2 linked regions of the Struthio camelus genome follow. The protein of the gene in region 2 purifies or fractionates together with the protein of the main gene of each other region. This does not show direct contact. Links are inferred from orthologs where the notes say so. Each region holds a gene or a part of one and is shown on either strand. Other genes may lie near its edges.

The links.
Region 1: the proteins of TGFBR2 (region 2) and ENG purify together in Homo sapiens (affinity purification with western blotting; 3 studies listed by BioGRID). This does not show direct contact. The link is inferred for Struthio camelus from reciprocal best matches to the Homo sapiens genes TGFBR2 and ENG.

Annotation. Positions count from the first base shown.
Region 1 is NC_090961.1:7,687,687-7,695,564, forward strand, and holds the start of ENG (endoglin), read right to left. Parts: upstream 3,196-7,878; coding exon 3,069-3,195; intron 1-3,068. Other genes in the region: AK1 (adenylate kinase isoenzyme 1), read right to left, coding at 5,617-5,682, 5,980-6,171, 6,312-6,428, 6,673-6,836, 7,201-7,236. UniProt on the Homo sapiens protein: Vascular endothelium glycoprotein that plays an important role in the regulation of angiogenesis. Required for normal structure and integrity of adult vasculature. Regulates the migration of vascular endothelial cells.
Region 2 is NC_090943.1:46,973,523-46,980,842, forward strand, and holds the start of TGFBR2 (TGF-beta receptor type-2), read left to right. Parts: upstream 1-4,318; 5' UTR 4,319-4,347; intron 4,348-4,445; 5' UTR 4,446-4,618; coding exon 4,619-4,712; intron 4,713-7,320. UniProt on the Homo sapiens protein: Transmembrane serine/threonine kinase forming with the TGF-beta type I serine/threonine kinase receptor, TGFBR1, the non-promiscuous receptor for the TGF-beta cytokines TGFB1, TGFB2 and TGFB3.

The sequences.
Region 1 (7,878 bases), on a different chromosome or scaffold from region 2:
GCTTCCTGGTGGGGGGAGATGGGCAAAGGCAACAGCCAGGCTGCACATGGCACAGCTCTGTGCCACGTGGCACGGTCACATAACATGGGGACTGTGTGGTGCAGCTGTGTAGCATGGGGTCATATGGACAGGGACGGCATGGCACGGCTACATTCGAGAGGGACCATATGGCACAGCTATGCAGGACAGAGCCTGTATGGCTCTGTTATGTAGCATAGGCACTTGTATGGCCCAGCTGCATAGGATAGGGACTGCATGGCACAGCCACATAGGACAGGGCCCATATGGCAAAGCTACGTAGGACAGGGTCAGTAGGCACAGCTATGTAGGATGGGGCACGACTACATAGGGACTACAGGGACTGCATGGCCCAGCTACCTAGGACAGTGACCGCACAGCGCAGCTACATAGGACAGGGACCACACGGCACAGCTACGTAGGACAAGGACCATATGGCCCCACTATGTAGGACAGGGACTGCATGGCCCAGCTACGTAGGACAGAGACCATATGGCACAGCTACATAGCACAGGGACCACACGGCACAGCTACATAGGACAAGGACCATATGGCCCCACTATGTAGGACAGGGACTGCATGGCCCAGCTACGTAGGACAGAGACCATATGGCACAGCTACATAGCACAGGGACCACACGGCACAGCTACATAGGACAAGGACCGTATGGCCCAGCTATGTAGGACAAGGACTGTATGGCCCAGCTACGTAGGACAGGGACCATACGGAACAGCTACATAGGACAAGGACCGTACGGCCCAGCTACATAGGACAGGGACCATACGGAACAGCTACATAGGACAAGGACCGTACGGCCCAGCTACATAGGACAGGGACCATACGGAACAGCTACATAGGACAAGGACCGTACGGCCCAGCTACATAGGACAGGGACCATACGGAACAGCTACATAGGACAAGGACCGTACGGCCCAGCTACATAGGACAGGGACTGTATGGCCCAGCTATGTAGGACAGGGACCACACGGCACAGCTACGTAGGACAAGGACCATATGGCCCAGCTATGTACGACAGGGACCATATGGCACAGCTACGTAGGACAAGGATCGTATGGCCCAGCTACGTAGGACAGGGACCATATGGCACAGCTACATAGGACAAGGACCGTATGGCCCAGCTACATAGGACAGTGACCATGAGCACAGCTACATAGGACAGGGACCACACGGCACAGCTACGTAGGACAGGGACCGTATGGCCCAGCTACGTAGGACAAGGACTGTATGGCCCTGCTACGTAGGACAGGGACCACACAGCACAGCTACATAGGACAGGGACCACATGGCCCAGCTACATAGGACAGGGACTGCATGGCCCAGCTACGTAGGACAGGGACTGCATGGCCCAGCTACGTAGGACAGGGACTGCATGGCCCAGCTACATAGGACAAGGACTGTATGGCCCAGCTACATAGGACAAGGACCACACAGCCCAGCTACGTAGGACAGGAACTGCATGGCCCAGCTACGTAGGACAAGGATCATATGGCACAGATACATAGGACAGGGACCGTATGGCCCAGCTATGTAGGACAGGGACCACACAGCACAGCTACATAGGACAGGGACCACACGGCACAGCTACGTAGGACAAGGACTGTATGGCCCAGCTATGTAGGACAGGGACTACACGGCACAGATACGTAGGACAAGGACCGTATGGCCCAGCTATGTACGACAAGGACCGTATGGCCCAGCTATGTAGGACAGGGACCACACGGCACAGCTACGTAGGACAAGGACTGTATGGCCCTGCTAGGTAGGACAGGGACCATATGGCACAGCCACGTAGGACAAGGACTTTACAGCAGAACTACATAGGATGGGGTTGCATGGCACAGCTACGTATGGTGGGGCCCGTGCGGCACAGCTACGTGGGACAGGGGCCGTATGGCCCTGCTATGGGCCGACAATTGGCCCTTCCTGGGGCTTGCAGCCGGCAGGGACAGCGGGCTGAGCAGGGCAGCGGGGATGTCACAGCCGGGGCCCGACCCCAGCCCGGCGCCCGGCCCCCCGAGGGAGCTCGCCGTGCCGGGGACGCTGCTCCCGCCGGCCCCGGCTGCTGCTCCCTTCCCACCGCCGGCCCCGCACTCCCTGCCCGCCGGCGGGGGCACTGCCACCCCGTCCCCCGCCCCGCGCCGCCACCGGGGTCGTGGGACCGGGGCGCACCGCGGGGGGCTTTGGCTCTGCCCCAGCCGCTTGCTAAGAGGGCGGAAAAGCCCCCAGCCCTACGGCCGCCTGCAACCACGGGGGTTTCCAGATCACTCCTCCTCCCTCGGCTCCCGCTTTCGGCGCCCGCCTTGCGGTGCCGGGCAGGTCACGAAGGCGCCCCGGTGCCTCCGCGCTCGGCGAGGCGGCTGCGGCGGCGGCGGCACCTCGACGCCCGCCGACGCAGCCCGCGCCTGGGCGCCGTCTCCCCTCCCGGGTCTCCCGGGGCCGGCAGCTCCCCCGCGGCAGGGCCAGCACGAATTTGCAGCCGGAGCGGGGTTTATTTTTCCTAGCGTGACGAAACGCAGCTGGGACGTGGCCCGAGCGTCGCCGTTCGCCGGCGAGGCGGAGCGGCGAGGGCGGCTTCCCGGGTTGCCATTCCCCGTTTCGCCGCGGCCCTGCGGTGGGGACAGGGGGCCGGGGGGGCCGGGGGGCACCGCGCTGGCCGCTTTCTGCCTGCCTCCCTCCTATTCCCGGCGTGGTACAGCGCCGTTTCCGCCGCGCGACTCCGGCTCTCGGCGGCACAGATTTCCCGAGCAGTCCCCGAAACGCCGGGACCTCGCGGAGGCCCTGCTCGCCCGCGACCTCGCACCCACCGCGGGGTGGGGTGGGGTGGGGTGGGGTGGGGGGGTATGGGCCGAATCGGCCCGGTGGCGGCGGGGGGGGTGCGAGGGGGCATGGGGGGGTTGGCCGGGAGCGCCCCCAGCCAAGCCACCCCGGCGGCAGCACCCCAGGGAAGCGGGGTGGGGGGTTCCCGAGGACACACTGGGGCAGGCGACGGCGGGCGGCAGCACCCCGGCCCGGCCCGCGGCAGCACTCACCGGCGCGGCCGGGCGCGCAGCGCAGCAGCAGCAGCAGCAGCAGCGGCGGCAGCAGCGGCAGCAGCGGCGGCGGCGGCAGCGGCGGCGGCGGCGGCAGCGGGGCGACGCGGCGCCTCGGGGCGCCCATGCTGCCTGCCCGGGCGCTGCGCTGCCCTTAGCCCGTGTCCGGAGGGGCCGAGGGCTGGCCGGCGGGGCTCGGCGGCGGGCCGGGGAGGCGCAGGCGGAGGCAGCCGGGCAGCTTTCGCCGCTCCAGCCTCGACGGCGCCCGGTGGCGGCGGTGGCGGGCCGGGGCCGGCGGTGGGGCCGGGCCGCGCCGGGGAAGCCGCGGCAGCGCCCGAGTGTGCGAGCCCGGCGCCGCGCTCGGGCTGATGACCTGCGGCGGCAGGAAATCAACTCCCTTTAGAGGAGGGTCCGCCGAGCCGAGCGCCTGCCAAGAGCGGGGAGGAAATGCCGCTTCGCAGCGGCCTGGAGCCTTGCCGGGAGGTCGGGGAGGGCCGGCGGGCAGCCGAGGGCTGCGCTGCCCCCGGGGGTGCTGCCCCGCCGGATGCGCTGGCTGTCTCCTATGGATTTTGGGGTGGGAGGGGGTGTGTTGCCCGATGGGACCCCCCTCCCCCCAACCCCAGCCGGGGGGGGGCCCAAGCGCCGTGCCTCAGTTTCCCCATACTTGCGGGTGCTGGTGCGGGGCAGCGCTGAGCGGCTGCGAGGACCCCGGGGCACCCGGCGAGACCCCCCCGGGGACCTCCGAGCGCGGCCGGCTCTGCAGACGGGCAGGGGCACCCACCTGCCTGGCAGGATGCTCCCCCCCCCCCCCCCCAAAATGCAGCCCCACATGCAGCTCAGGGCCGGCCTGGGGGCTCGGGCAGGATGGGGACTGTCACCACCCCACTCCCCATGCGCCTGGCGAGGAGGGGGACGGTGCTGGGCAGCCAGGCTTGAGCCCCTCCGGAGCTGCCCCCCGACGAGGGACCCGGTGCAGCCCCTGCTTCGCTCCATCCCCAGCCGCCCCTCTGGGAGATGGACGGCAAGGCCTGTCCCGGCCTGGCGGGATGTCCCCTGGGACGTGTCCCCGACGGTGAGGTGAGCAGGCAGATGTCTCCCGTGACAGAGCACTGCCATCTCCTGGGGACCGCGGGGACGGGTGCTCAGCCGGGGCCGGTGACCAGCCGAAGGCTGCTGGGGCCGGGGTGCCTGCTGCCCCCTCTCCCGGCCCCAGCGCCCGGCAGCTCCATCCCCGCTCGCTCACTTGGGAAACTGAGGCACGCTCGCGCCTGGCCCGAGGCCACAAAAACGGGATGGAGGCGCAAGGGAGAGGGGTCGCTCCCCATGGCCCAGCCTGCGGTGGGCCCCCCCTCAAACCCCCTTGCTCGTGGTGGCCCTGTGGCCGTCCCCGTTTCGAGCCAGGCTCCTTCGCCCCCCCGGCCGCTGTACGAGCCTGACGGGGCTCGTTTTTAACTTTATGACTTTTATTTTTTTTTGCCCCCCCACTCGTTTCCTTCCTCGACACCGTCTCAGCAGCTTCGGCTGCCTCCAAACAGCCTCCTTTCTCCTGACCTTCGCTTTGCTCGTCGCCTGATTTACAGCAGCCCGAAAGCGAGCGGTGCCAGGGGCAGGCCGAGGTCACGGCTCTGCCGCCTCCTGCCCTCGCCGTAACCTGGCAGGCAGCAGCCCCGCGCCGCGTCCGGGAAAACCGCCTGCCGGCAGAGCATCCGGGCAAACCCCCTGGCCCCGGAGCCCTGCTGCAGCCGCGCCACCGGCATTGCACCCTGATGCGGCCGACAGCCCGCGACCGAAACGCCCCCTCCGTCTCCCACGTCGGCCCCCCCCGAACTCTCTCCGTGGGTCAGGGCACCCAGAGCACAGCCCCGGTTCCCCTAAAAAGCTCCCGACAGCACGATGCAAGGGAGTGTCGAGGCCGAGGCGCGGGCTGGAGCCAGCAGTGTTGAAAGTGGTGGAAATCCCCGTCCCCGTCCCCGGGAGCAGCGGGGTGGAGGGGGGGCTGGCACACGCTGGGGCACCCGGGACGCCCGGCCACAGCCCGTGGCATTGGCCTGAACCTGGCTCCCTCAGCCCCGGCAGCGGGACGGGTCTCGGCGAGGGGGTTTGGCTGCAAGGAGGCGGCCGCGGGCCCCCCGCAGCCCCGGGGCTCGGCCGATGCAGCCGGGATGCTCCCCTCCCTTCCTCCGAGCGCAGCATCCCGCTCCCCCCGGCCGCGATGCCACCGGGCGGGATAAACAGCCCGTTTCCTGCCCTTAATCAGCCTCAGAAAGGGGTGTGCGGAGGGAAGGGGGGGGGATAAAAAAATTTCTGGAAAGAAAAACTCATTTCCTGCGGCAGAAGAAAAAAGATAAAGTCTGGGCTCATTAAAGTGAACTTTACTGGGGAGAGACGGGAAAGAGCCAAACACAATGTCCTTGAAATTTCCTCCGCGCGGCTCTGTCCACGAAAACAGGATAAAGCCGCTTCCGCTGTCTCTGCCGCGGAGCCGGAGTGCGTGCGCGTGTGGGGCGGCGGGCCGGGCCGGCGCGGCGAGCCTGGCCCCGGGGCTCGCCTACAGGGCGTCCAGGTGGGAGCAGACCTGCTGGAAAACCTCCTCCACGGTGCCCTCGGCGTTGAGCTGCGCGAGCGGGACAGCAGTGTCAGGCTCGGGGACGCCTCGGCGCCCGGCCCCCCGGGAGCCTCCCACGGAGGAGGTGGCTCTTTTGGGGACACATTTCAGCTTAGGGACAGCTAGGGCATAGTTAAGGCAACGGGGCGGCACGGACATCTCCCGAAGGATGTCTTGGCGCCGGGATGCTGCTGGCCCTGGTCAAGGGGCACATGGCAGTGGGGGACCACCTAAAGGAGGTGGGGAGCCCAGCTGTGGGGTGACGAGGGGTCCCGTCCCCGCCACGGCACCCCGGGCCCCGCTCACCTGGCGGACGATGCCCCTGCTCTTGTAGAAGGCGATGACGGGTTCCGTGGCCTTGTAGTACGTCTCCAGGCGCTTCTTGATGGTCTCCTCATTGTCATCCACCCGGCCGCTGGTCTCGCCCCGCTTCAGCAACCGCTTGACCATCGTCTCCTTCCCCGCGTCCACGTAGAGCAGCAGCGTCGGGGCGGCGATCTACGGGCGGGGAGGACGCAGCTGTCACCAGGGGAGGCGGCTGGGATGTGGGCATGGATGTCCCCAGCCTGTCCTGCATCTCCCTCCGCGCGGGTCTGCGGTGGTGTCTCCGCAAGCAGGGCCCGTCCCCAGCCCCTCACCTTCTTCTCGAACTCCTGTCCTTGCTTCACCTCGCGGGGGTAGCCGTCGATCAGGAAGCCCTTGGACACATCCGCTTTGGCCACCATGGCGTCCCGCAGCATGTCCAGCACCGTCTCCTGGGAGCCGGGGAGGAGGGGACAAGAGGTGAGGGGGTGATGTATCCGCTCCCCATCACCCGGCACCCCCTGATCCCGGCTGCTAGCCCAGGGCTCTGGGGTGGCGGGGGACCAAGGCCTCCCCTGGACACATGCTGACCATCACCGGCATCACCACGGTCCCCCCTGACCAGCACTCCCACCACCAGTGCCCGCCCCTGCGGTTCGGGGTGTCCCGGCGGGCTCCTCCGGCGCGCAGGCTCACCAGGGGCACCAGCTCGCCTTTCTCCATGATGGCCTTCAGCTTCTTGCCCCGCTCGGAGCCGGAGCTGACCTCAGCGCGCAGCAGGTCTCCGGTGGAGAGGTGGGTGTATCCATACTTCTGCACGATCTTCTCGCACTGGGTCCCCTTCCCTGAGCCGGGGCCGCCTGCAAGTCACAGCAGGGCCCCGTTCACATCCCAGCCCAGGGGGAAAGAGCTGGGGGGGGGGCCCAAAAAGCACTGCAGACCCACAGGGAGCATCTGGCAGCCAGTGAGATGAGGTCCCCAAGCCCCACACTGGCACCCGGAGTGTCCCCACCCCATGGCGTCCCAGCCGCTGTCACCCCGAGGAGCCGAGCTGGGAGTGCTGCAGCTGCCCCGGAGGCAGCCGGTGGTTTCTACAGGTCCCAAATTTTCAAGCACGTCCTGCAAAGCCGGCTGCTCCCCTGGGCCCCGAAATTGCCCCGGCGAGGCGCGGGAGAATGGGGCTCTGCAGTCGGCCTCGCTCCCCGCAGCGGCCGACTTACTTACCCACCACGAAGATGATTTTGTGATGCTTGAGTTTTTCTGGGGGAAAAGAAAATAGAAAAAACCAGACTCAGCCAAGCAGAAGCCTGGACGGCGGCGAGTGAGCTGCTGAACCCCCCGGCAGGCGCCCCCCGGCATGGTGGGGCCGGCCCCAACCCGCCGTGGGAGAAAGCGCGGCGGGAAGCACCCGCGCGCCCCTCTCGTCCCCGTCACCTCGGCCAGCCTGAGCAGCCGAGCTGCCCAAGCACGAGCACGCGGCCCCCATGGCACCCGGCCTGCGGCCCCGGCCCCGGCGGCGCTCCCGGCGGCCGAGCCGAGGTGGAATCCCGCCGGCGCCGGGGCGCGCGGTGCCCTGGAGATGGTTGCCGGTGGCGGCTTCGTGCCAAGGGCTTTCCGAGGCCGCCCTGCCCGGGGCTGCGGCCCGCTCGGCTCGGCACGGCACGGCACGAGCTGGCACGCTGCCTCCAGCGCCTCCCTGATCCCTGAGTGTCCTAAAAATTGGCCTGCGGGCCTGGTGGCGCATACGTGGATGGGGACGGGATGGGGAGCACTAACAGCCCTGCCCCTGCTGCTGGAGCACCCCACTGGCACAGCATCCCACTGCCAGAGCAGCCCACCACCAGAGCAGCCCACTGCTGGAGTCCCCCACCGCTGGAGCACCACACCGCCAGAGCACCTCAA
Region 2 (7,320 bases):
TGAGGTAAGCTGTGTTAAGTCTAAACACTTCTCATGAGTCTTTCAAAGCATTTTACAATGAATGTAACCTTTTGTAAATGTCCTTGCTTGAGGCTGCATGTGTTTTTATAATAGAACAAATTATTAGTAACAAGTCCAAACCAGTGATTATGAAACAGAAGGAAACTGCTTTTAATAGTAGCTGTAACTCTGTGCTCCCTGATAACCTAAATGAAGAGAGAAATAAGATGAAAGCAGCCATACAAGGCACAGTAGTTTAACATGAGTCTGTAGAGGACTATGTGTTCTTCTTCAGCAATAAATGGTGCACAAGACATTGCAGGCTTTTTATTAAGAATGCTGAAAGGCCAATACTCCGTGCCAAGCATCCTGAATTTGAAAATTAGAGGAGAGATGTCAGCTTCATGAACGGTGCACTGTAAAAAGCAGAAGTTTTGGTCTAAGAAGAATACAGGGTTTCAAAATTTGTCTTTGATTTGAACTGAAATATCAAGACTTCCCTGAAAATAAACCTCTTCCTTCACTTCAGTGAAATCAGGATGTTGTATGTTGCTCTTTTTTGTTTGTTTTTATGTGTAAAATGAGGAAACAACAAAAATTCAAAACTAATTGGCTGCATCTCAACAAAAAAAGATCTGTTTCATTCCAAAAATGTCCAAACGGGATGTGTCAACTTTGTCAAAAAGATTTACCAATTTTCTTTTGAAGGTAATTGTCACCAAGTTTATTTATAGTCATAAATGTTTTGGTTTTGGTCAAACTGCTTATGCCAGTTGTGTAATTGATAGTTCTGTAAAAGCGGTATAAGCATACGATATTCCTCATTGCCTCATTTCATTCCAAACAAAAAACACAGGCAGAAATCCCAATGTTTGCCAGTCAGTAAAGCATCCTGTAGCTTATGTTATACAACTTGTACAGTTCAAAGAACATTTTCATTAGGAGTCATCTCATCTAAGATCAGCTGCCCAAAAACTAGGTGTCTGGGCCAATTATGCTATCGTTAGCTCAGGTCTCTAGAGGTTTCTAAAACAGCTAGAATCCTCTCCATCCGTTGATGATGGAGGGAATTTAGCAGACCGAATAGCTTGCTGCCCCTGTAAAGGGCAATCCTGCTCATCCAGCTGTTGTCCTCTATCCTTTGGTCCCTGAACTTGATCTGGGACTAACTCACTATGCAGTTGAATAAATGCGATTGCTTCTTTTCATAGCAGGAAAGCTGTTAGGCTTTCTGTTGTCTCAGGTGTCTCCTGGAACCTCACTCTGAGGCTAACTTTTGGAGAGCTACAGTTAAGTGAGATGTTTTCACCGCAAGCCACACATGTCAGCTTCATACAGGCATAAACACTATCCTGTGCTGGTGCAGCTGTTTAGGCCTTCTCTAATTCTGAGTCAGTGGATCTCAGAAACAGCTTGTTGAGGGATTCTTAAACTAAGAAACACCAGACCTAATAAACTAATCAAAGTAATGGCTTTACTGGGCAATCCAGTGGCTTGTGAGTAGAATGACTTTGAGCTAAAGGTGGATGTTACATACAGTGAAACTGCAGTTGTAATAAGAACGCAAGTTTTGTGGAGGCTTGAAAGGGTTCTTCATATGAGAATAATGCTGTAGAATTATGGAATCATGGAATTTTGACAGAAATATGACATTGCAAGCTGAGAAATAGTTGGGTTAGGAAAGAGAGAAACCATTTGCTTTCACTAGTTTTTATGAATTGTTATAAAAAGTGGTACCTAAAACTGCAGCAAGAAGCACTTGTGTTATCTTTCACTAGAAGGCTCTGAGGTGCGAGAGGTATTAGCTTGTTTGTGTTCTGGGTATCTCTTTAGATCATTTTTGAGGCTCAGAAAGAAAACAAAGAATACTCAGTATTTCAGTATTTAGCTTTTCTAAGTAGCAAACTGAAATTAGCTGGCCCTTCCTTACTCAGTCAGGCTGGAGTTAATTATTTAGTTCCAATCTGCGGCTCTTCAAGGCTGGCTCTTTCTCACCTTAGGCTGAGGTTAACTATTCACAGTTTCAATCTAGAAGTAATAAACTGCAGTCTGCAAAGAGGGAACTGGGAATTATGAATAAGGAAATGGAAAGATATGACCAGCTTAGCCTTGTTTTATATATTCTTGGTTGTCCAGGAAATCCTGATTAAACTAAATTTGGGCCTTAACATGGAAGCTTATAGTACTCAAAAAGGCAGGACATGAGCTTTGTTAATAAGCCTGTCTACAACAAATCTATGAACCAAACTGAAGTTTACTTCCACTTCCGTGTGGACTTTCTGTGACTGAATTATTTCTCCACTGAGGATATCCAGGTAAGATATATTCCTCCATCCACCCAGAAAACGTCCTAATATGAAGTTATTCTTAGTCATACTTCCTAGTATGACATATTGTGAAAACAAAAGCAATGTTTACATGGAAAAATTAGACTTCTGAAGTCCACATATGGTAGACTCCCTGCTTATTGGGTTATCTAACGAGCAGTATCACGGAACGTGATGGAGAAGAGCCGCGATGCCAGGCTGCAGTCAGAGATGTGAGACGGTTGGGGCCCTGAGCGCTCAGGACTGAGGCGTCCCCAAAGCCCCTCTCCTCTACTGGTCCGAAGGTCGCAGTGCGCAGGAAGAGCCACGGCACTCACGTCAGGGGGAGAGATCAGGTGCCACAGCAGTGGAAAGTGAGGCAGAGGCCAGCTCACTGAATCATACCTGAATTTTGACAGGTTTGAATACTAACGTTAAATCTATATTTAATGGCTTTTTAGCTTCCTTACATGTTGGAAGTTAGTCAGGCAAAACTAACAGGAGAGCTCAAGCAGCATACACAGCCAAGTTTCTAAGCAAACAGCGGCTCTTGACAGCTACATTGTTACAACAAATGTTGATGGGGGTTGAGAAATGCTTTCACATAATAAATTACTAAAAACAGAATTTCTAGCATAGCGTGGATGCTCAGGAACTGGTAAGAACACTCCAGGTCTGTACTCAAAGGTGAATCTGACATTTCTTACCTCCTCTGGAAGGTGGCATCTTTGTTTGAATGAATCTTGAGTGCATTTAAAAGGAGGGAAGGAAAATGCTCTTGGAGAGGTTTATGGGAATGTGCACAATAAACTAGGGCTGCACTGTGAAAACATGCATTTAGGGAGTTTTTAAAAATAAATTTACATAAAATCACAATGAGATTTTTTATGCCTGTTACAGGCCAATTAAAAGCATTATGTAAACACTTCCAAATTCATACAGAGTTGATGTGGGACATTCAGAGTATGATTATGCATATTCCCCGTGAGGGCTTAGCCTTGTTTCTGAAATACCCAAATCTGTACCTCTAATTCGTGCTGTAATCAAGACAAAAGTGAATCACCACAATTTGAGCAGGCATTCTCAAATTATCCCCATGTGCAGCAGTTTACTTTTCAATCAATGCCCAGCCATTTAACTCGGAGAGGAGGGAAGACTGAACCAGAAATGGCTCTCAAGGCAATTCCTGGCTATGCAGTGGCTGGACTTATACAGGCAGAAGGCACAGGCCTTATTCAGTGTAAACCTGCTGAGGATCTAGTGGTTCAGTCACCTCTGTCTGGGTCATGCATAACTGACATCACTGGTATGGTCCCACTCCCTGAATGCTCTGTGCAATTTTTCCTTTCTGAAGAAATCTCTGGCAAAAGCTGAGGCTGCTTTAGAGAGGAAGGGAGATGAACTTCATCTGTGTCACACGTGCAGGGCTTGGGAGCAAATGGTGTGCATCCAGCCCATTTGGGAGCAAAATGCAAAAAAGAGGCAGGTGGTGAGTTGTCACAGTCTGCTTCAGCATCTGCAAGCCGAGTGCCCAGCTCGTCAGTGTGAACATTTCCTGTTATTACCCTGATTTCAACCTGCCTTACCCCCTGCTTTAGTTCATCAGGGGGTTACGTCTCCTCTTTCAGATGCCGGTCCGGCAGAGCGCGAAACAGGCCGCAGCAGCACCGCCAAGGGCAGGGCTACGGCTGCAAAGCCCCCACGCTCCAAGGCCACGACTGGGCCCTCGTCCGCTCGTGGGGACACGGGAGCAGCGGAGCTCGCCGTTTCCCGGCGTTTCCCAGCCTCCGCGCTGCCGGTGCCGCCCCTCGGGGCCCGGCGGGGCGCGCCGGGGGCGCCGCGCTCCCGCCGGGGGAGGCAGCTCCGGGCGCCCGGCAGCACGTCGGGGCTGGCCCGGCGCGCTCGGGGTGGGAGAGCCAGACCTGCGAGGGGTTGGCCTCTGGCAGATGATTGACACCAAACTGGGTGAGGTTTCATGTTTAAAAAAAAAAGGAAAAAAAAAAAAAGGAAAGAAAGAAAAGGAGCGAGCGCAGAGGAGGGGGTGAGCGTGGAAGGGGGGAGAAGGAACTCCTGTAAGAGTACGAAAGAAAGTCCTGCCCAGCTGTTTGCGAAGTTTAAGATTTCCTGTTTCCCTTGCAGCGCCGAAGTGAAGTTTTTAGTGAGTCACGCGCGGTCCCGAGCAGCAAAAGCAGCGCAGCCCGCGCCGCCGTGCCAGCCCCGCCGGCGGCCTCTCCCGCTGCCCGGGCGCCCGCCGCTCCGCGCCGCTCCGCGCCCCGCCTCGGCCTCGCTCTCTATGCGGCTGCGGCTCGGCGATGCCTGCCGCTCTGCCGAGGAGCCTGCGGCGGCTGCTGCTGCGCGTCTCCGTGTGGCTCCTAATGGGCAGCTCGGTCCCCGCTCTGCTTCGGGGTAAGTGCGCGCCGCTGCCCCGGCCCCCGGTGCAGCCTGCGGAGCGTTTTCACTTGACAGTTGCTCGGCCGCAGGCGGGAGCGGTGGCAAGGGAGGGGGAGGATTTGGTTGCTAAGAAAGTTTTGAAGCTGGTAACAAAACGCGGGGGGGGGCGGGTAGGGAGGACACGCGTGTTTATTTATTGCCCTGCTGGGGAGTTACCGGGGGGAAAAAGGGCTGGGGAACTTGAGTGGGGGGGGGGGGGACTCACAGTAGACAGTGAGGTCCGTCGGCAGAGGGAAGCGAGGGAGAAAAAGAGAGAATTTGGCAGGAAATGCAACAGGGTCTCATGTGGCCGGAGGAGCCGGAGAGGGCAGCCCGGGAGCTGCCTGCTGTGCCGGGCCGGGCCGGGCCGGGCCGGGCCGGGCGGAGAGGTTGCCGGGCCCTGCAGCTGCTGCAGCTTCCGCACCTGGGGGCGGCGGGGGCGGCCGGTCCGCACCTCCCGCCGCCGCGGGGCACGGCTCCGGCGCCGCTGCTGGCGGCCCTGCCCGCCCACACCGGGCAGAGAGCGCCGTGGGTGCTGCGTGGCCCGAGCCTGTGCGTGCCGTCCTTCGGGGCGGTGGGCCCGCGCCCGGCCGCAGAGCTGGCTGCCGAGGCGATCAGCGGTTACTTACCAAAAAGTTATTTGACTCTGTGGGAGTTTCTGCGGCATTGCCTGCAGCAGGATTAAGGCATGGTTTGTGAGCAGTTGCACTGGGAACGGCAGTCATTCTTGTAGCGCTCGATGTCTTAAAGTGCTCATGTTGTTTAATTCACTTTTACTGATGCTTTACGTCCCTTATTCTGGCTGTTTTTATCCAGACATCTGTAGAGAGATGTTTTGAGGCTGTGGCTCGTATTACTCTTCACAGAGTAATTTGGAATGCACGGAGAGGTTGAAGTGCCCCTGTGAAAACAGGGCCCCTACCCTGAGGAGCTTCTGGTCCCAGTCTTACCAGTGCTAACCCACGCGTGTGAACTAACATCTCTATCTGCGAGGTTAGGCCCTAAATCGCGTTGCAGCTCCATTGGCGAAGTTAAAAAGAGAACATCCTATCGCAGCAAAACTGTATCTGAAACAGTTTTGCGGTATTAAGCAGATCTCTGAGGTGCCTTGTTATATTGAATGTCTGGTTTTAGTCTTTAGGTAAGAGGAACAGGCACCTGAGCTTTTCCAAGCTGTGCTTGGTGCTCCAGTTCTCCCCTGTGGTCCATTCAATAACGGTCTCAAAACTGTTGCTGAAAAATAACAACATAAACTGGATAGCTCTCGCATAGCCACTGCAAATAGCTGTGTACATGACTAACTTAATGCTTCGTTAATAACCCAGTCAAAGTCAACAGGCCTTACATACCTGTAAAGTTACTCACGTAAGTTTAAGGCACATGAAAAAACAGTTAAACAGTTTAAGAATAAGGGTCTGTAGTGTCCTAGGGCACAATATCTTATTATTATTTTAAATTTGAGGCATGCAGCTTCTTGTTGATTTTGGTATATATTTATGATTAATATAAACCATACCCAGCTAGTGATGGCTTTTATTTTGATCCTGGCCTAAAAAATATTACTGTAGATTCCTATTACACAAAGCTTTAACGGAATTAAACTGAAAAGCTCCAGTTTTATAAAGCTGCTGTTCTGTTATTATTGCTTATGCTTTTTTGCTCAACCAGTATAGACAGTTTCAAACTACAGATAAACTTTTTAATGGGCCTATCTTAAGAAATTTTTTGATGTCTTCTTTCTTGTCATAGAGCCAGTGAGGAAAAAAATAGAGATTTCCTTCCAGTTCAGCGTATTTCATGCTGATCTTCATCTGCACTCTACAGTAACCAAAATTGGGTTGACCTGTTGTCAGATAATTGATCATATTCAAAATTCCATTTTTGTAATTACTGCAGGACTAAGCGTGTAACGAGGTAGCACTGGTCAGAAAACAACAATTCTGTGGGGGCAGCAAGTGTGAGGTTTGGATGTTGGTTTTTAGTAGTCATCAGAATGAAAACTAGAAACTTTGTTTGGGAAAACCAAACAAAGCCCAAGAAGAGCTACTCTCTTTGGAATAATCAATAGCTCTGCAGTTGGGAGAGGATGAGGCGGGACGGATAACAGCCTCAGGAGAGCTTGCTTCCCAGGTGTGTGTACTGACTACCTGCTGTTGTTGGTGAGGGGGGCTAACAGAACCTCGGCTAAAATTTCATCTTAACATTCTTCCTAGCAAAATACTGGTCAAGAACAGCACGTTTACACAAAAATTCTGGAGAAAGCCAGGAATTCATGAGCGGGTCCAATAGCAAGTATTTCCTTTGAAAAAGATGCTCAAATATCCTGTTCTAGACACAAGTAGTTGAAGTTATTTCCATGGACTAAAGGGACAAGTTGTGTTTTTTGAATGATTGTGACTGCTACACTGATAAATGGCAGTGCAAATTAGCAGTCGCCTGCATAAGAAATGAACGCTGCTTTGTCCAAGTGAAATTGGAATCTGTAGTTTATATTTGGAGTATTAAAAACTTAAATTTGTGCTTTGGAATAATCTGTGTAATGATTCCTCATTTCTGAATATCTGGAACTTAATTTCTTCATTCA